Linked DNA regions of Cricetulus griseus. The protein of the gene in region 2 purifies or fractionates together with the protein of the main gene of each other region. This does not show direct contact. Links are inferred from orthologs where the notes say so. Each region holds a gene or a part of one and is shown on either strand. Other genes may lie near its edges.

The links. Proteins that work in one complex are often made in the same cells at the same time.
Region 1: the proteins of Arpc1a (region 2) and Arpc4 fractionate together in Homo sapiens (co-fractionation; 7 studies listed by BioGRID and IntAct, with this or other methods). This does not show direct contact. The link is inferred for Cricetulus griseus from reciprocal best matches to the Homo sapiens genes ARPC1A and ARPC4.

Annotation. Positions count from the first base shown.
Region 1 is NC_048601.1:31,414,825-31,424,949, forward strand, and holds the start of Arpc4 (actin-related protein 2/3 complex subunit 4), read right to left. Parts: upstream 6,202-10,125; 5' UTR 6,108-6,201; coding exon 6,102-6,107; intron 5,236-6,101; coding exon 5,117-5,235; intron 4,159-5,116; coding exon 4,047-4,158; intron 2,010-4,046; coding exon 1,914-2,009; intron 530-1,913; coding exon 359-529; intron 1-358. Other genes in the region: Tada3 (transcriptional adapter 3), read left to right, coding at 9,824-10,030. UniProt on the Homo sapiens protein: Actin-binding component of the Arp2/3 complex, a multiprotein complex that mediates actin polymerization upon stimulation by nucleation-promoting factor (NPF).
Region 2 is NC_048597.1:81,463,597-81,473,904, reverse strand, and holds the start of Arpc1a (actin-related protein 2/3 complex subunit 1A), read right to left. Parts: upstream 4,968-10,308; 5' UTR 4,809-4,967; intron 1-4,808. UniProt on the Homo sapiens protein: Probably functions as a component of the Arp2/3 complex which is involved in regulation of actin polymerization and together with an activating nucleation-promoting factor (NPF) mediates the formation of branched actin networks.

The DNA of each region.
Region 1 (10,125 bases), on a different chromosome or scaffold from region 2:
GTAAGCCTGAGAAACAGACACTGAAGGAAAATATTTATGTCTGTTTGAGAAGTGGACTTACACGATTAACTGTTCTATGGTCTCAGAGGAGTCACAAAGCACTTTATCTTCCTCACTCTGAGGTTTGAATTAGGACAGGTAAACACTATGTAAAACTGGAAAAATACAGAATTCATGCCTACATTTATGTCCACTAGAGACTTGCCTCCCAGACTTGCAGAAATAATAAAACAAAACAAACAAAATCCCTTGGGGCTCTCAAGGATGAAATCCTTGGCCTCAGGAATATCTGGTAGGTGCCACATTACCAGAAGCCATGGCTTCTTCCTCTGGTATGGAGTGGGGAGGTCCTACTCACATTCTTGAGGAACTCCTCAGCCACAATGCGGGCCCGGGCATTGACAGATAGCTTCATCTCACTGATCTCCTTGTCAATCTCCTCCATGAAGTGGATTACAAAGTCCACCAATTTGTGTTTGTACATCTGCTCCGTGTGGAAGTTGGTGATAAGAAAGCTGATGTCATACCCCTAGGGAGGGAAGCCAGCAGGGAAAGGAGACAAGACAAAATTAGTCCCCAGGGTCACATGGTTGTCATATCTTCTGTACACTAACACAGGCTTCCAACTGGCTACCATCTTCTCCCAAGCTACACATCTGTCCTTTAGTCAGCAATCCGCTTGCTTGGTGAGGGGCGCATATGGGCGATTGTGTGTTGTATGTGTTTGCTGGACCCAAGCAACTGAACCCAGTTCAAAATTGTGTGCGGGGTCAGATGTCCCTGAAAGAATGTGGCACAAACAGCCCTGTATTCAAAATGAGCTAAGGAAATAAAGGGGCCACAAATCTTATTTCAAAAAACCCAACTCAATAGTTTAAAAACAAAAAACAAAAAACACAGAACTGACATGGAAGAGGATGGAACTGGAGCTGTTTGCTACAGGAGGATGTGTGAGGAAGAGTGAGCTCATTTACTCTAGTGGCCCCAGAGGTTAGAGTGAGGACACAGAGAGAAGGTGGCTCAAGGTGAAAAACAGACCAACACATGGTGGCTGCTAGGTCACCAGGGAGACTTGGCAGGGAGCCTGTAGGGAGACACTGTAGCCCAGCCTCCTAGTAGCCAGGACAGGTGTGCCGGGACACGCCCATGAGGGAGTGGTCAGGAGAGGTCTAAGGTGACATGGGAATGATTCTTAAGGGACCGCGCACACGTGAATAGCCCCTTCTTTCTGGCCCCTTTCTGGCCTAGCTGCCTTGCTGCCCCTGGCACGCTCTGGCTTGCATTTGGGCTGCTGTTTATCTAAATAAAGAAATCTTAGCCTTATGGACGACGGATCATCTTTGGGCGCACGCGGCACCCAACAATCATCAGGAGCCTATGGAGTAGACTCAAGTATCTTTAAACGCAAAGGCAGGCAGCAAGCATCTCACTGTTTACTGGGGCTCTGAGAGCTGGACTTCAGCTGGGAGAGCTTAGGAAGATTTTTGTTTCATTTTTGTCTTCTTCCTTTCTTTTGTCTCAAATGCATGATTCTCCTGCCTTGGTCTCCTACATACTGGGAGTGCAAGCATGCCCACCACACCCAGCTCAGAAAGAATTTTGAAATAACTGTTTTGTTTGTGACTAGGCCCAAGATTCTTTGAAAGAGGGCACTGCACAGACCTACCTCTTCCTGGGGTTCTGTCCTCCTGCTACCATATATGGGCTAACTCAGTCCAAGCAGTAATACCCTACAGCTAGAAAAGCAGCAGCCCTTGGCCTTCAATCCCCAGACCCAGGGAATAGCCCAGTAACTTGCCCAGCAGTGCTAGGCCTTAGGTTCCATCCCCCATACTGCAAAAACCAAACAAACAAACCCAGGCCACCTAGAGACAGAATCCTGGGAATCTCAAATTCCAGAAGATAGGTCTCACCTCCACAGGTTTCCTTCGAAGAATAAAGAAGTTCTCTGCTCGCATCATCATGAAGCGCATGAACTTATGGCATAAAATCTTCTCAATCTCATCAGCCTGATGACACAAAGACAAAGACGGCTCTCCAGCAGACAGGCAAAGCCAAAATCACCCCGGGCCTGCTTGTCTGGCCCAGAACCTCCCCACTGCTGAGAGGTTTGGTGGGAACAAAGACTGCTGATCTTTGAATTGCAGCACCAGCTGCTAACTGCAGCGAGGGCCCAGCCAGGGCCACTTGGCCTTAACAGGTGTTAGTTACTGAGCTCTCATCTCACACCGGTGAGGGAACTCTGGCAAACTAGTCTTTCATCAGCTGTGATGGAGTCCACACCTGTATCTGAAGCTGCCTGACCTTCCTCATGTCACTAGTGTGGCCTTTCTCAGCATCGGTGGGACCCACCTCACAGATTTCCTCAAGGAGTGTCTGTCTTAACATTACTAAAATCCAACAATCCTGAAGTCTCTCTTTTTTCAACTCTTCCAATTACTTCTGCATCTTGGCAATCAGACACCAGTAAAGCCACCCAGCCCCCTGCCTGCCAGGGCTTCCGTACCTTCCTTTTTTTTTTTCAAAAGGATTTTATTTATTTATTATGTATACAATATTCTGCTTCCATGCATATCTGCACACCAGAAGAGGGCACCAGATCTCATAATGGATGGTTGTGAGCCACCATGTGGTTGCTGGGAATTGAACTCAGGACTTCTGGAAGAGCAGTCGGTGCTCTTAACCTCTGAGCCATCTCTCCAGCGCCCCCCCCTTCCTTTTAAGGCTGAAGGCTTTCAAAAGGTAAGATTTGTAACATTGTTTTTAACTGCTATTTTTAGAGTTGGGGCAAATGATACTATTTTCCCACTTAAGATACAAAGTTTCTTTCTTAATGGGAAATAGAATCCAGGTCAAAAACAGGGCAGTGCTGGCACAGGCCTGAAACCCCAGCACTTCGGAGGAAGAGGCAGGTGATCTCTCTGATCTTGAGGCCAGCCTGGTCTAAAAAGTAAGTTTCAGGACAGCCAGAGCTGTTACACAGATAAACCCTATCTTGAAAAACAAGCAAAAAAAAGGAATCTAGGTCAAATTTAAAAACAAATATTAAATAACCATTCAACTGATACTGAGACAGCAAGGCCCAGACCTATGTGGTAGATATTTGTCAAATATCGCTTAAGGAAACGTGTAAGAAATGGAAATCCTATTTTATACATATATGAATTGGAAGAGAAGAGAAAGCTCACAAAGAAACTGAAATATTTAAAGTCAACTGATTTCCAACAAAAGTCTAAGGTCACACAATGGCAGGAATTTCTTCAACAAATTGTGCTGACAACTGGTCATTCATATGTGGAAGAATGAAACTAGACCCTTATACCATATACAAAAATTAACTGAAGATGGATAAAAGACTAGAAGTAGGTCCTTCAACTATAAAACTACTAGAGAAAATGCACAAAGAAAACACTATGACATTTGTCTGGGCAATTACTGTTAAAACAGATCTTCAGTTCTGATAGTTTTGCCAGTGTTCTTGTTGGCATTTTTCTTTCATGATGTTATCATCCCACCCACTGCTAGCCTACACAGCTGTTTCTGAAAGACAAGCTAGAATGGATGGTCTGCTCCTTTTTTGCTGTTGCTGAGAATTCCATATGTGCATGTGTGTTGTACCATCTGTTTTTAAATGAAATGGCAGTGTCAGAAACTATGGCTATCAAACCAGTGCTGGTTGATAGTGCTCTAAGTGCACACAACCATCACCTATGTCCTTGCCGGCTGCATTTCCCTGTTTGTAATCCAGAGCCAGGGCTATGGGATAGTGTTGTTGCAGTTTTATTCCACTGACCCAGTTTTTGTTTTGTTTGTTTTTTCAGATAGGGACTCACCAAGTAGCCCAGACAGACTGGTCTTGGGTTTTCCATCTTCAGTCTCAGACTTCCATGGGCTAGGATTACACGCATGTGCAACCATATCTGCTCTGGCCAATCATGCCAAGTAAATTCCTGAAAGCAGGCTCTGAATCTAGCTCACCGACCTTTCAGAAGGGATCCCTGGCTGTGAAGAGCGCTCCTAACTGTGCCCTCTCCATGGTGACTCACCTGTTTCACAGCAATGCTGACCCGGACAGAATTGATGGAGCCCTCAATCAGAACCTTTTCCTTCTCATTCCTGCTGATAGTAACAGGTTGCAATAGGAGTTCTTTGCTACTCCTAAAAACACAAAATCAGAGGACCAAGCTGATGCCATTGACTTTCTAGGTATCTGTAAAGGTCACCACTTGAAAACCATGTATATCAAGTAACAACACAGTCCATCCTAACGTTAGAATTGTTTGAGTCACAGCAATCATTTTGGGGATATGGCTCAGCTGTAGACTGTGTGCCTAACATGCCCAAGGGCCTAGATTCAATCCCCAGCAATAAAAATACCTTCATTACCTATTTGGTAACACAACTTATTTCAACTATGTTCATCCCAGATTTTCCCCCCTTTGCTTCCTTTTTTTTTTTTTCTTCTTGAGACAGGGTTTCTCTGTATTGCTTTGGAGCCTGTCCTGGAACTTACTCTGTAGACCAGACTGGCTTCAAACTCACAGAGATCCACCTGCCTCTGCCTCCTGAGTGCTGGGATTAAAGCTGTGCACCACAACAGCCAGCTTCTTTTGGTTTCGTGAGAAAAGACCTGTTCTGTAGCTACGGCTATCCCCGACCCTGTGGTTCTATTGCTATTGCCTCAGCCTCCATGTGCTGGGATCAGTAGTCTCGCATATCCTTGCCAGGTGAAATTTCAAAAAGGAAAAATATTTATTTACTTATGAAATGAAAGCCAGACAAGACAAAACTGCATTCAAAACATGGAATATTTGGGTGTTAGAGGGTCTAAACTGTCTGGCACTATTAATGAGATAAAAAGTAAAAAAAAAGTCCTGATCCTTAAATCATTAATACAGAGATGTCAACTCTAGGAACTAAAGCCTGTGCCTTCTTCTGGAGCTGCCAGTGGCCTCAGTAATGCTACCGGAGACACTTCTCCACAGCGCTACTCCAGGGGCCACACTTTGGGCTATGTAGGTCTTCCATGGGTTTTGGCCTGTCAACATGGCCCCTTTAGACAGGGTCTGCTCTTGTGAGTTGTTCTCCTCAGCCCCATTCTGACCCTCTTCCCTACCTGACTTCCACCTCTGGCTTGTTGTGTCGTTCCACGACCTGGGAGGAGAAGTTCTCCAGACAGAGGGCAGCCTGCAGTGTGGCCCGCACGGCACTAAGGTAGGGGCGGAGAGTGGCAGTCTGCAGGAATAAACCCAAGATTAGGAAGGACCAGAGTCTACCACACCAAAGCCATTATCCCCCTGCCCCCGCCAAAGCTCCTATGGAACACACAATACTGAAAGCTTCAGGCGTGGTCATCACACAGAACAGAACACACCCAGCCTTCAAGATACAGCCCAGTCGGGAGTCTGCAGCAGTGGTTCCCAGCAGCAAACAATTCTACTTGGCATTTAGCAAAATTTGGAGAAAAAAAACTGTTATGACTTGGGGGCTGGGTGGGGACTATGGACGTAAGTCATGCCACCCAACATCTGGGATGCACAAGAATTACCCAGCCCCAAAAGCCACAGTGATGAGGCTGGGTGATACTGATCTAGATGGGTCCACGCCCTCCACCTGCTTCCTACATGGACAAATGTATTGATCCATGCCCTGAGCACACTGGGAATTCAGTCAGATAACTTCTGCTCTCAAATAACTCAACTGGATGAGATCACAAGGACTAATGGAAGGCAAAATGTAAAATTAACTAGGTTTATAAATAATCCATACTACGGAAATTAGTATGGACTAGACACAAGATCAGGAAGGTGTTTGTTTTGTTTTGTGAGACAGGGTTTCTCTGTGTAGCTTTGGAGCCTATCCTGGCACTCGCTCTGGAGACCAGGCTAGCCTCGAACTCACAGAGATCCGCCTGCCTCTGCCTCCCGAGTGCTGGGATTAAAGGCGTGCGCCATTAACGCCCGGCCTTCGAAGGGTTTACAATGAGAAAAAGTAGACCTGGGACATTCTCTGTAGCAGACAAGGTCAGCTTAATGATCAGCTACATTATTTCTCAAGTTATCTCTGTCTCCCCTCAGGGCCTATCACATGCTGGCCATCACCTGCATTCTTTCCTCCTCATTGCTTAGGTCAGTCCGTCAGAGCTCAGCTCACTGAAAAGGCCTCTTCCTTCCTCAAAGTGGTCTTCTTGACTTCCTCCTCAGTGCATTTACCAGAGTTTATGATATGTACACTTTACCATAATTCACAACAAGACATTCTTCATGTATTTTCTTAAATTGGTTCTCCTTCACTAGCTTGTAATTCTCATGGTCAACACACATTAACTTTATTCAGTTATGCTGGTTGCAACTAGCTCAGTACTTCCTATACATAGCATTTTACAAATTTCCTGTAGAGTGAACAAATGAACCGCGAGAAGCATTTTAAACTGCATAGACCAGGCTGCAATGGCAGGCTGGGATAAAAACCCTAGACAATCTAGAATGCCAGTTCACTGAGTTAGCCTTTCTCTCAATGTGGCAGGAAGCATTGGGACTTTCTGAGGAGGAAGTTACATGACTTCAGCAGAGGCTCTCTGGAGAATGGAATGGAGGGAAGTGAGACTCAGAAGAGGCACTGAGTACAGACTGGAGTGGAGAAAGCACAGCATCACAGGGGACAGCCAGACGTTAGACAGAGGAGGGAAAGGCTAAAAACACAACTAAGTTTGCACGTAGCCCGGTGCATTATGTTTTCTCTACACACTAGAGAATTCTATTTATATGTTAACCAAAAAAAGGCAAAACCGGAAGGGTGAAATTAGTAGTTGTCTGGGGTAGAGTGTACCCTTGGAAGAGTGATAGAATGTTCTCTACCTTCATTGAAGTAATGGTTATCTGATTATTTTGTTAATAGTCAAAGTAAGAAAACTAAAAGTGAATTCTAGGTGGCTAGTCCTGTGATGTCTGCCCTTTAGTGAATAGAAGGATCTCAAGTGCAAAAAAACTTAAATGCTTAAAAATGAAAAGCTACATCCTCAGTCAAAGGGATACGGCTTTCAGGCTGAGGAATGAAACCAGTTAGGGCATGGAACGCAGGAGAATGAACAAGTTTAGAAAAAGCATGTGACTTTTGAACAAGAGGGTCTAATTTCAAGGTGTCTCTCCAGAGTCGAGTCACAGGAGCATGGCAAGCAGTCCGGCATTTAGAACTGAGGTCATCAAAGCCAGCATGACCGGGGAAAGCAGTAGGAAGAGAGATGCAACAGTACGGAACACCCACAGACACCAAACCCGAAAAAACCTGGAAGGGAAGGGCCAGCGGTCATCAGCGCTTACACACATTAAGGTCAACACCGTACCGCACTACGAGGAAGGAGCCTGAATGGAGGCAACACCACAGAACCTTCATTGAGGCCTGGAAGCAAGGGGTGGAAGGGATCGAGAGTAATAAGGAGGAGTGGACACTTGCCTTGGGGTACCGTGAGATCGAGAAGACAGGCGGGGACAAGGGGGTGCACTTAGCGAATCTCTACCGTGGATGAAGAGGAGGCCCTGCTTCATTCCTCAGTGGTCCTACCTTGCAGCCGCCACCACAGACCTAGCAGCCCCACTTCCCGCCTCCTCCGAACTCTGGCGAGAGAACATTCCTTCCGGGGATGCCCAACTTGGAAGCATCCGGGCCTGCTCCTGCCCAGCTCACCTCCCAGCTCGCTCCTTCCTCCTCGCATTTGCCCTCGCCCCACCCTCTGCCTCCCCATCCTCATCGTGCCCCCTCATCCTAGGGCAACCTCCGGCCGCAAGCTCAGGCGGCAAACAGCATCTCCCCCAGACCCCACAGCCTCTCCTAGCAAGACACAGGGAGTCCCCCGAGCCCGGGGTCTCTCACCATCTCGGGTGCTGTCGCGGGGCCGGAAAGCGGAAGTGCGGAAGTGCCCGGCCCCGCGACGCCTGCCCTTTCGCGAGGCGCAGCCGCAGTCTCCGCCAGCACTTCCGGGGGGGACCATCTCGAGCAGGACCGGGGAGGAAGTTCCGAGCGACGTTCGGATCCCCTGGACGATCTCACACTGGGACCGTAGGGACTTGTAGGAGGCCTGGGATGACACAGTAGCACTCGAAGCCCCTTGGGTCTCCATACATCTCTTCCCAGCGCCTTTGGTTCTTGTCGCCTCTGTTGTAACTTCCCCCCATGTAACAATAGTACAGCCCGACCTCAGGTTGGGCACCAAATTAGGACAGGCAGAGCCGGAGAAGCCCGACGTTTCTTCCGGTGGTGCTCCCTTCTCCGCCCGGGCTCCTCCTACCGGGAGCCCTGGGGCTTGGCCGAGCAAGTGGGTCCCTGGAGATCTGGGCTCTGAGCCCCGCCCTCGCCCCGGGCTGCTTCCTAGGGGACACCTCAGGCCTAGCATTCCACCTGTCGGAGGTTCGTAGGTGGCCTTAGACCCCCCACCCCCCGGAGGCCACCGTGGGCTGGCTGTGTCCCCGCCCTCGCGTCAACTGCAGGGGGCCGGGCCCGCCCATAGCCAGTTCCGGGGCGGTTGCTTGAGAGCACTGGACTCCCCGCCCCCTCCTGCGGCCCGGGGCCTGTAGGAGGCCGCAGAGAGGAGGTAGGAGAGGCGGGAGCTGTGTTAGGGGCTCCCTAGAGGACGAGGACCCTGGAGGCGGGATCTTGGGGCGACACACAGGTGGAGCCAGCCATTAAGCAGTCCCACTTCTGTGCCAGGCACTGAACTGGGCACCTGAGAAGCATCACCTCTTAATCCTCAGAACATTCCAGGGAGGTAGGTACTCTTGATGCCCCCATTTTACAGATTGATACTTTTTAATGGGGAAACGGACCGAGGCATCATCTCTTGTCCTGGAAAAAAAAAAAGAAAAGAAACTAAGATTCAGGTTAAATAACATGTTTAGAGGGGCACATAATGGGCTGGAACTTAGTTCTGTCTGCTTGACCAGCTCGTGTTCCAAACTAGCTAGGGACGCAGAGAGGTACAAAAGTGGAATGAGGAGAGGCTGGGTGAACCCTGTAAGATAGAATGCTTGAAAGAGCCCAACAGAGGGCATAGGAAGACAGGGCACACTGGTATCTCTCTTGTAGTGCAGGTTTGAGACTTCTTGGGTTCGAATTAATCATGCAGGTTTGTAAACCTAGTTACTAGGGAGGCTGAAGCAGGTGGATCATAAGTGCAAGCAAGGCCTGTCTGGACAACTGAGTGAGAACCTGTCTCAATAAAAAATTGATGAAAGGGGGCTGAATGTAGCTGTTTGGAGACTATGTGCCTACATGCACTGAATAAGCCAGGTGTGGTTACATGCCTGGAATCCCATCACGTGGGAGGTGAAAACAAATATTCGGTTACTTAGCAAGTTTGAGGATGGGAAGTCAGGTGTGGTGGTATACACCTTTATCCCAGCACTCTGGGATGTAGAGGCAAGTATAATGAGTACCAGGCCAGCCAAGACCACATAGTGAGACTTTGTCTCAAAAAAAAACAAAAAAACAAAAAAAAACCTGAAGATAACAGCATGTGTGAGACTCAGGTTCAGTCTTAAGTGCTACCAAAACAAAAAAGACAATGAATTGCACTTAGGAGTCTGTTTCCTTTTTCATCAAAGGAAGAAAGGAAAGCATGAATAAAGCCCATCCCCCAAGGTTGTGTGTATAATTCAGTGAAGTAAGCCCCCCTCTGTACAATCAGGGCTCTATGAACAGGAACGTTGCCACCATCCGTATCTATAAAGGTATTGAATCCTGGTTTCTTTGTTGGACCTCTCTTCCATGCTACTTTGTCTCCCATCCAATGGCCTTCTCTCTAGTTTTACAGAATCCCATCTCCTGAGCCATGAGTGAACTGAAGGACTGCCCATTGCAATTCCATGATTTCAAGTCTGTGGACCACCTGAAGGTCTGTCCCCGGTACACGGCAGTACTGGCCCGCTCCGAGGATGATGGCATTGGTATTGAGGAGCTGGACACTCTGCAGCTGGAGCTTGAGACCTTGCTGTCCTCTGCAAGCAGGCGGCTGCGTGTACTGGAAGCTGAAACCCAGGTGATTCTCCAACAGAGGGGACATCACTAGAGAAAGATTGTGTCAAGTTATGGGATGGCTCATTAGGTTAATGACCTAACATTGACACTATATGT
Region 2 (10,308 bases):
CTCAAGGAATCCAAAGATGAAAAACTAAAAAGTACCTGATATCTACCTTCAACTGACACTCTACTCAAGAGTGAAGATATTTGGTGGATGTGGTGGTACACACCTGTAAATCCAAGACTTTGGAGGTGGAGACAAAAGGATCAGGAATTCAAAGTCATCCTCAACTACACAGCAAATACAAAGTCAGCCTGAGCTACATGAGACTGTCTCAAAAAGCCAAAAGCTGGGCATTGGTGGCACACCTCTTTAATCCCAGCACTCTGGAGGCAGAGGCAGTCAGATCTCTGTGAGTTCGAGGCCAGCCTGGTCTACAGAGCAAGTTCCAGGACAGGCTCCAAAGCTACAGAGAAACCCTGTCTCAAAAAAAAAAACAAAACAAAAAAAAGTGAAATATTTGTTATTGCAATTTTTACTTTTTTATGTTCTAGAAAGCAAATTGTGACTCAAAGAGCCTTTAATTTGACTTTCATCTTAATTAACTTACTGTTTAAAAAAAGGTTTTAACATTTTAAAATTGTGTGTGTGTGTGTGTGTGTGTGTGTGTGTGTGTGTGTGTGTGTGTGTATTGGGGTAAGTCTGTCTGTCTGAGTTTATATACCCAAGTGCAGTGTCTGCAAGAGCCAGAAGAGGGTGAATCATCTGGAGCTGGAGTTACAGACAGTTATGAGTTGACTGATAATGGTGCTAGGAATCAAATGTGGGTCCTCTGCAAGAGCAGTGTATGTTCTTAAATGCTGAGCCATCCCTCTAGCTCCTTATTTACATTTTTTGGTGCAAAGTAAAGAATTCAGCACTTTGCATATGCTAGGCTTACTTAGAAATTACAAAAAAAAAAATGAATTCACGTGAGACTGCTTAATTTACTTTTAAATACAAACTTTCAACTGGGTATAGAAGTGCATGCCTTTAATCCTGGCACTGGGGAGGCAGAAGCAGTTGGATTTCTATGAGTTCTAGGCCAGCCTGATCTACATAGTGAGTTCTCAGATTCAAGATTACATATAAAGACTCTAACTCTAAACAAATATAAACTAATTTCAAGACAGTATATGCCTGCAATCTCAATACTCAGAAGACAGAGCAGGAGGCTCACTACTGTCAGAATTACACAGAGAAACCTTGTCTCAGAAGTAACAACCAAGGGCTAGTAAGATGGATGACTCAGTGAGTAAAGGTACTTAGTGCCAAGTCTAATGACCTGAGTTCAGTGCCTAGACCCCACATGGTAGGAGAAAACCAAGCTGTACTCTGATCTCCACATATATGCCATGACACATGTGCACTTACACTCATACATACAAAAAAATAACTGGGCATGTCCCAAACAAACAAACAAAACAAAACCTCCAGATGCACACTACATGCAATCTCTCCTTGTCTCTGAAATCTGATATGCTTATTCTAATTTTGTCAAATATTAAACCCAAAACAACATCTTGTTGGGGTAGGGGGAGAGAGAAAGTTCAGTGGTTAGAGCACTTGCTGCTCGCTGGGCAGTGGTAGCACATGCCTTCAATCTCACTACTTCAGAGACAGAGGCAGGAGGATCTCTGTAAATTCAGGGCCAGCCTGGTCTACAGAGGTTCCAAAGCTACAGAGAGATCTTGTCTTGGAAAGAAAAAAAAAAACCCGGATATGTCTGTTGTGGAATATTACTTTAACTATGTAAAGCTGTGTTACATTTGCTTATGCTGCATTGCTTAGTATGTAAAGATAAATTGTATTTGTTTATGCTGCATTTATTTATTTATTTATTTATTTATTTATTTATTTATTTATTGGTTTTTTGAGACAGGGTTTCTCTGTGTAGCTCTAGAGCCTATACTGGCACTCACTCTGGAGACCAGGCAGGCCTCGAACTCACAGAGATCTGCCTGCCTCTGCCTCCTGAGTGCTGGGATTAAAGGCATGCACCACCAACACCTGGCTGCATTTATTTAATTATGTAAAGATATGTTGCTGTTTCACCTTGCTTGCCTAAGGCACCTGATTGGTTTTTAAAAAAGCTGAATGGCCAATAACTAGGCAGTAGAGGGATAGGCGGGGCTAGCTAGAGAGAATAAGTAGGAGTAGGAATCCTGGCTCAAGAGGAGAGTGAACTAGAGAGAAAGAAAGGGAGACGTCAGGGGCCAGCCAGACACAGAGGAAGCAAAAAAGTAGGGCATACAGAATGAAAGAAAGGTAAAAAGCCCTGAAGCAAAACACAGATAAAGAGAAACAAGTTAAATTAAGTTACAAGAGCTAGTGGGACAAGCCCAAGCCAAGGCAGACCATTCATAACTAATAATAAGTCTCCGTGTCATAGTTTGGGGCCTGGCAGTCGAGAAAGCCTGCTACACAGTCTTTCCTTTATAATCATTTGGCTATTTTAAGCCTGAATTTTTTACCATGTAAGGTAAACCTTCATGTATATGTTAGTAATTTTAATCTCTACATTGCAGGTGACATTTAAGCCATGTTTGATCTTAACAAGACTCATGAGGAGAAAAGGGAACACCACAGGTGATGACATTGTACTGCACAGATTTTGCCAGGTACTTAGGAGGCAGAGGCAGAAAGATCTGAGTTCTAGGACCACCAGGACTAAGACCCTGTCTCAAACAAAAACCAGGCTTCTGTTGTCCATGTCTAGCAATGAAGGATGAAGAAATAGGATGACTCCATAGGTTCCCACTCTCTTCAATTACCACTTAGTACTGTCTTTTCTTCCTGTGGTGCTGGTGAGCCAACCTCGGCACTATGCGCACCATGCAAGTGCTCTACCAACTCAACACTAATCCCAACTTTCAAGTGGAGTCATTTTAAAGGATGGTTAGCCATGGGCTCTGGAGACAAGGAGACCTGAGTTAGAATCTTGGCTTTGACACATACATAATGAGATGCTGGGTAAGTCACTTTTCATCTGTAATGTAGGTCTCCAAGTGACACCACACTATTGTGTGTCAGAAGGATTAAATGAGATAGCACATAAAAGCATGTCAATCCAAAACCAGCCCAAAATTGATCTCAGTAGACTAGTTCTGTGGTCTTTTTGGTTGTAAGCCTAGCCTTTAATGGTAGAGCCATCTTGGTAGCTCAGTAAATTACTTCTCTTTCTTCCTCTGACACAAAGCTTGGGGACACCCCTAGAAAGACCCTCTGAACTTGAAAACATTGATATATGTTAGTTTCTTGGCCCCGCTCCACTGGTGCTTGACAAATTCACGTAAGTTGAAATTTCCATTCCCTGTTAGGGTCAATATCAAGTCTGTGATTCATCTAGTTTCGAATCGCTCTCATTACCCAACCCACCCAGCAACTCGAGCTACTCCAACAAGGTCACCACACCCTACCAATGTTCGGACAGGCTTCACTCCAAATTCCAGCTTCATCAGACCATTCTATACTTCCTGTACTCAATTTGTTTTGATGTAACCCTAGATATTTAGATCAAAACACTGTCACCCATCTTCTGAGGGAGTTTGCAATTTCCAGGATCCCCCAGTTGGATACAGCAGATAAACTGGAGAAGGCCCCCAGATATTGTGTGGTAGGAAGTAGCCACCAAGACTCACTCTAACAGGGCAAACACCCCAAACTGGTAACTTCTAGAGACCCAAATTCCTAAGGCCAACATGGAAACAAAAAGATTAAGTGAACCTGACTGAATATGGTGGCATATGCCTTTAATCCCAGCACTCGGAAGGCAGAACCAGGTGGATCTCTGTGAGTTTGAGGCCAGTCTGGTCTACAAAGAGTTTCAGGACAGCCAGAGCTGTTACACAGAGAAAACTCCCTCTTGAAAAACAAACAAACAAAAAAAGATTAAATAAAATTGATAAAAGAGCGTGCAAACTAGGTCATTTCAGTAAATTGGGCAACAAGTAGATAGGAGGGAGACTCCCAAGCCACAGCATGACAACAGATGGCTTTATAATCAGAGATCCTAAGCTACAATTTATTAAGTGCCTACCAGGTTCCCAACAATGTTGAGTATTTGAATGAGGTCAGAAGCATAAATAAATGCTAGTCTTCAAGTCTGAAGAAAGAGAACAAAGGGAAGGAAGGTAGATATTTGTAGAACGTCTAAGAAGCCTTTATTTTCATATTATTTGAACAGCTACTCTGGGCCAGGAATTACTGTAAGCAACTTAAGCAAATAAACTCACTTTGACCTAATAAAAACTAAGTAGACTAAGAATCTACTTATTGTAGCTGGGGAAACCAAGACACCAAGAAGCAACCTTCCCAGGGTCATCCGGAAAAAGTGGCAGAGTCAAATGAGAACTTTGGCGGTCCTACATAAAGGACTCCATGCAGTGAATAGGAGGTGCAACTTTGACTGGGCGCGGGAGGGGGCAAGAACAGAGGAATCTTAAGGTTACTCCAAAGATGGCTTTTCTCTTGTTGGGTAGGGTCCCCCAATAACTGACGGATCACAGGCTGGTCTAATCAACATCCTAGACGTTGAAGAGATGGCAAGCCTTCATGACAAGCCTTCGGGGGAGATCTGCCCGGTCTGAACCAATTTTACAGATTGTGGTAAAATGCTCACAGTAGGGGGGCAAATGGTACTGTGAGGGTGTCGGAGGCCAAGCTGTCGATTCTCTCATCCGAGACGGAGGGCAGCCGGAAAGTGCTCAGAAACGCTCGATCTGTGTGTATGGGGGCACCAGGGACTCAGGGGTCACCATGAAGATCGGAGATGCGGGCCCCCTCAGGTCGAGACCCGGTGCCTAGGTGCCCCGGGCCCGCCGCCCCCGCGTCCCATAGAAGATGCGAGAAATGGAGGCGACCCGGGCCAGGCGCTCGGCCCTGCAGCCCCTTACCTGGGATCTGGGCGGTCCGGAGAGCCGGAGCGAACGATTCGCGGACTCTGGTCAGTCGACGCGAACAGGCTCCGGCGGGCGCGGACGGAGGAGGGAGGCCCAGAAGGAGCGGCTGACAGATCCCGGAAGTGGTCAGGGCGCCTGCGCAGCGCGGCCGCGCAGGTGGCGGGCGCAGGCGCAGAGCTCAGCGCGCGTTGGGAGGCTGTGTCTGAACAGCTGCTGTCACTTCGGTGAGGCCGCCACATGTCAGCGCAAGGGTGTGCCTGTGGAACTGGGTGGGCGTCCTACTCCTTTCTTTAAGGGAGAATAAAAAAGTGTATATATATATATGTACATGTTCCTGAGCCATGGCCCAGGTATGAGGTGTTGGCAGTATCTCAAGGGCTTTTTGTTGTAAATAACTGAGGATTAGGTTCTCTTGCGCCTTGTGGATCTGAAGAGCAATTCAAATCCTAAAAAATACATATTTTTAATTATGTGGATTTCTGTATTAATATGTACATGCAGGTGCCCTTGGAGGCCTGAAGAGGACAGCTGATCATGTTGGAGCTGGAATTGTATGCTCCCCGATGTGGGTGCCGGTAACTGAACTTAGGTCCTCAGCAAGAACAGTACAGTGGTGTAGGCTAAACCATCTCTCCAACCTCTGCAACTAAGTCTGTGTCCTTCATAGAGGTTGGGTCACGGCAAACCACTTTCTGCCTGGAGTGCTGTCTCTGCCGTGTACCCTCTGTAGGAAGTCTCATGTCTACTCTAGAGTCTCCTTGACCTAGGTCAGGATCACCTGTCCTGCACCCAAGATAACACTACAAGAAGGAATGATGGCAATATAGTAAGTCTTTTTGCTGTGTAGATGCAACTTTTAAAGAACTGCCCTGACCCCCACATTCAGTCAGACTGCTGCCCCTGCCCTGGCAGAAATTATGAAGTGGGCAACCCAGCCCTTGTCTTGTGCTCTTGTGGTGGTTTACATATTTGACCCAGTGGACAGTAAACACTGCCTTAAAGGAAATAAGGAAATAGTTTATTCTGAATCAAATATAAGTGAGTATTGCCCAGCAATGCTCAGATTCACTGCCCTAAATGCATGGTCCACTTTGAAACCAGTTGCAATGTTTTTTAGAATTATTATTAGTTTGTCCGTGTGTATGATGTGTATGTGGGTAGCATTCTTATGGAGGCCAGAGGACAACGTTGTGGAGTCAGTTCTCTGCTTTCACCTTTACGTGGGTTCCGGGCATCAAACTCATGTGTTCAGACTTGCTCAGCAAGTGTTTCCCCACCAAGCCATCTCACTGACCTTTTGTGGACTTTTATAGTTGCTGGACAAGAGAGAGCCATAAATCGATGGATTTAGCAGAGTTCCTTTGGTGGGAATGTCAGGTAAGAGGCATATGGCAGGGAGAATCAATCTCTTCCATAGGTTCAATGTAAGAGTACTCTTAGCTTCAGGGTTGGTGGGAGCTAGAGGTCCACTGAGCATAGTAATATACTGTAAAGGGCTTACACAATAAGCCTGAGAATAAAGCTAAGTGTAACAATAAAGATGGGGGCAGGGCAAGTAGCTCAGTTGGCAGAGTGCTTGCCTAGTCTGCACACGAAACCCTGGGTTAGATCCTGAGCCCTGTATAAACCGGATAGGGCACCACATGCCTGTAACCTCAGCACTTCCGTGGCAAAGGCAGAAGATCAAAGCCAGACTAGGCTACATAAAGGGTTTGAGGGAAGTCTAGGCTACATGAGATCCTGTCTCAAAAATGAAGATTTTTAAAAAGGGAAACAGACTTTGTAGGCACTACTGTCCACTTTCGCCTCTTCCTGCAGTCATGCTCAATGCCACCGTGTTCTTCAACATCTCAGCATGTCTCCTTCAATATGTTTGCAGGCAAAGTTCCAAAGACAGCAGAAAACGTTTGTGCTCTGAGCACTGGAGAGAAAGGATTTAGATATAAGGGTCCCTCCTTTCATAGAATTGTTCCAGGATACATGTGCCAAAGTGGTGACTTCACATGCCATAGTGTCATTGGTGGCAGATCTGTTTGTGGGGAGAAATTTGAAGATGAGAACTTCATCCTGAAGAATACGGGTCCTGGCATCTTGTCCATGGCAAATGCTGGACCAAACACAAATGATTCCCAGTTTTGTTTGTTTTTTTTTTCTTTTTTGTTTGGGGTTCTTTTTGTTTGTTTGTTTGTTGGTTGGTTTGTTGGGTTTTTTCCATTTTTCTTTTTCTCCCACAGCCAAAACTGAGTGTGGCTGGATGAAAGATGTGGCCTTTGGAAAGGTGAAAGAAGGCATGAGCATCATGGAAGCCATCCAGCATTTTGGGTCCAGGAATGGCAAGTCCAGTAAGAAGATAACCATTTCCAACTGTGGACAACTCTAATTCTTTTGACTTTCAGGCATCTTACACACCAGACCACTCTTTCTGTAGCACAGGAGAGTCCCCCACACTATCTGCTTGAAATACCCGGTGATCTCCACTCTCATTGAAGTTCTTTGGGTTCCCCTCCAAGCCTATCTGGTTTGCAGAGTGAAGTTTATGATTATGAATAAAAACTAAAAAGGAAAAAAGGGAAATAAAGGCTAGTAAATGGCTACAAAAAGGCCCAAGATGCCCCAAGGTAATTTTATCTTGGAATCTATAACATTTGATCTCTCACACCATGTTCTAGTCAAGCAATGGCAGAACTTTCAGTATAGACAGAAATTTAAGGGATTTCAGCTCACAATCCCTTGATTGTAAGGTGCTGTCTGTGCAGGTGAACTTGCAAAACTCCTGATTTCACATCTGTGCTGAGTTATTTGCCATTAAATAGTCCAGTTGTTCACAGAGCCCTCATGACTTGGACGTCCTTGTTTTTTAATTTGTTGCATGGCTACAGGTTTGTAATGAGTCTTTCTCTGTCCTGCCAGCCAGCTTCCAGATAATGCCATGGAGACTTCGTGTTAATTTTGAAAGCTTGGCCTTAGCTTCGGCTTGTTTCTAATTAGCTCTTATAACTTAAAATAACCCATTTCTATTAGTCTACATGTTGCTTCGTGACCCTGGCTTTTACCTCTCCTGCATGTCCTACTTCCTCTGTGTCTGGCTGGTGACTCCCCCTTTCTTCTTCCCCAGTCCTCTCTGTCCCCAGAAGTCCCATCTAACCTCTTCCTACCTAGCTATTGGTCATTCATCTCTTTATTAAACCAATCAGAGAGACACATCTTCACACAGTATAAAGGAATAGTTCACAACACAGGTTCTGTTATGGGGGAGCAAGGGGATGGAGTAGGAAGATAATTGTAAATTAAATATATCTCCTAAGAGACAACTTGACAATGCAAGAACAGCCTTCATGGAAAACAAGTATTCCTTATGCACCAGTCCCTGAGTGTATACCTCTGGGTACCCATAGCCAAAAATAAGCAAACAAGGGAAAACTTGGCTGTGTTTTATCTAGACTCCAACTCTTTACAAGGGACAGTTTCTTCTTTGAAGAATCTTAGTCTGGATGGATAAAAAAATATACTGTCTACGATAAATGACAGGTGCACACCCGTGTCTGTGTGTTACTTTACCATTGTTGTGATATAAATCGATGACAAAATCCTTAAAGAAGGAAGGTTTATTTCAGCTTGTGGTGTGAAGAGATGTCATTCCTTACTGCAGGGAAGACATGGAAGAGGGAGCTGGAGGCTGCTGGGTACAAGCATGTTCCCTGAATCCCATCCAGGTTGGGAAGCACAGAGATGAAGGATGGTGCTCAGCTCCATTTCTCCTTTTCCTTCAATCCAGAACCCCAGCCACGGATGGTGCCACCACATTCAGACATGCGCAGATATGTGTCTCCAAGGTGATTCTAAATCCATTCGGGTTGACAAAGTGAAGCATCACAATGCTAGTAAATAAGAGCCGTGCAGTAGATAATCTGACTCCATGTTTGTTTGTTTTGGTTTTGTTTGTTTTTGCAGACAGAATTTTACCATGTATACCTGACTAGTCTGGAAGTTGCTGTGTAGCCCAGGCTGGCCCAGAATTCAGAGATCCACCTGCTTGTGCCTTCCAAATGCTGGGATTAAAGGTATTCACCGCCACATCCAGCTTCAATTCCATCTTTTGAGTCACTGTTTATTGTGTTAGCCTAAATAAAGTCTACATTTCATGTTTTGTGGGGGCATTTGAGGCAGTTGAAATTTTAGCTTTATAAAAGGCTCTTTAAGTCAAGCTGCCTTATTCTACAACTAAGGAAACTACAAGAGTATTTTTTCTATCTATCTATCTATCTATCTATCTATCTATCTATCTATCCATCCAAGACCATGTTTTCTACAAGAGTATTTTGAGGCTTGACAATTTTGATACAAGGTAGGGAGCAAGGATGGCCTCCTGCTCTAGTTTCTTCTAGTCTTTCATTGTGACCTCGTATAATCACTCAAATTCCAAATAGAATGAGTATTGAGTTACTCTGGGCTTGTTTTTTAGACTTGTGTAGTGACGCTGATTTAGTATACAAAATGAGAAGTATGCCTTTGAAAACTTAGTTATCAGGGTAGATGTTGCATTAGCTTTCCATCACTATAATAAAATACTTGAGATCATTAACTTATAAAGGGGAAAATTTGGGCTGGAGAGATGGCTCAATTTATAAAGCACTTGCCATACAATTGTGAGGACTGGAGTTCAGATTCTTAGAACCCATGTAAAGCTGACATAGCACCACACATTTATAATCCTAGTGTGCTATGGCTGGATGGGAGAGGGAAACAGGAAACTCCTAGAAGGCTCACAAGCCAGCTAGCCTGGTATGCACAGGTCTGAACAGGAGACCCTGCTTCCAACAAAATGTAAGGCAAGGACCTCTGACCTCCGACCTCTACATGCCTACCATAGCACGTATGCATCAACACTCACAAACATGCACACACACACACACACACATACTCACTATACACATAAATCATATACACACACATCATATGAGATTGGGCAGACCCATTGCTTTGGATCTGTGGTAGATGTGCTGGATGGTAATGACAGGAGAGCATGTCACATAGCAAAGTGCTTGCCTCAATGCTAGGAAGCAAAAATAAAAATGTAGAAGAGATCAGGGCACTATGATTCTCTTCAGTGTTGTGACCCTGTGGAGTGAGCTCTCACTAAATTCTGCCTCCTGAGGGTCCCACCACCTTGTGGCTGTGCTGCCTTGGGGACCACATGGGCCTTTGGGGGATATTCAGTATCCTATCCATAGCAATGATGCTTAGAAATGCAGAATGCTAGGGTCAGAGAGATGGCCAGTGGTTAAGAGATATCCTGCTCTATTAGAGTACCTGAGTTTAGTTCCCAACACCCATGTCAGACAGCTTTAAAACACCTTTAATGCCAACTCTAGGGGATCTGTTACTTTCTTCTGTTCTCCCTGGGCACCATCCCCCTCCTGCCAAACACACATAAGCAAAAAAAAAAATAAATCCTTCAAAAAAGGGAAATATAGAATGCTTGCTTCATATCTGT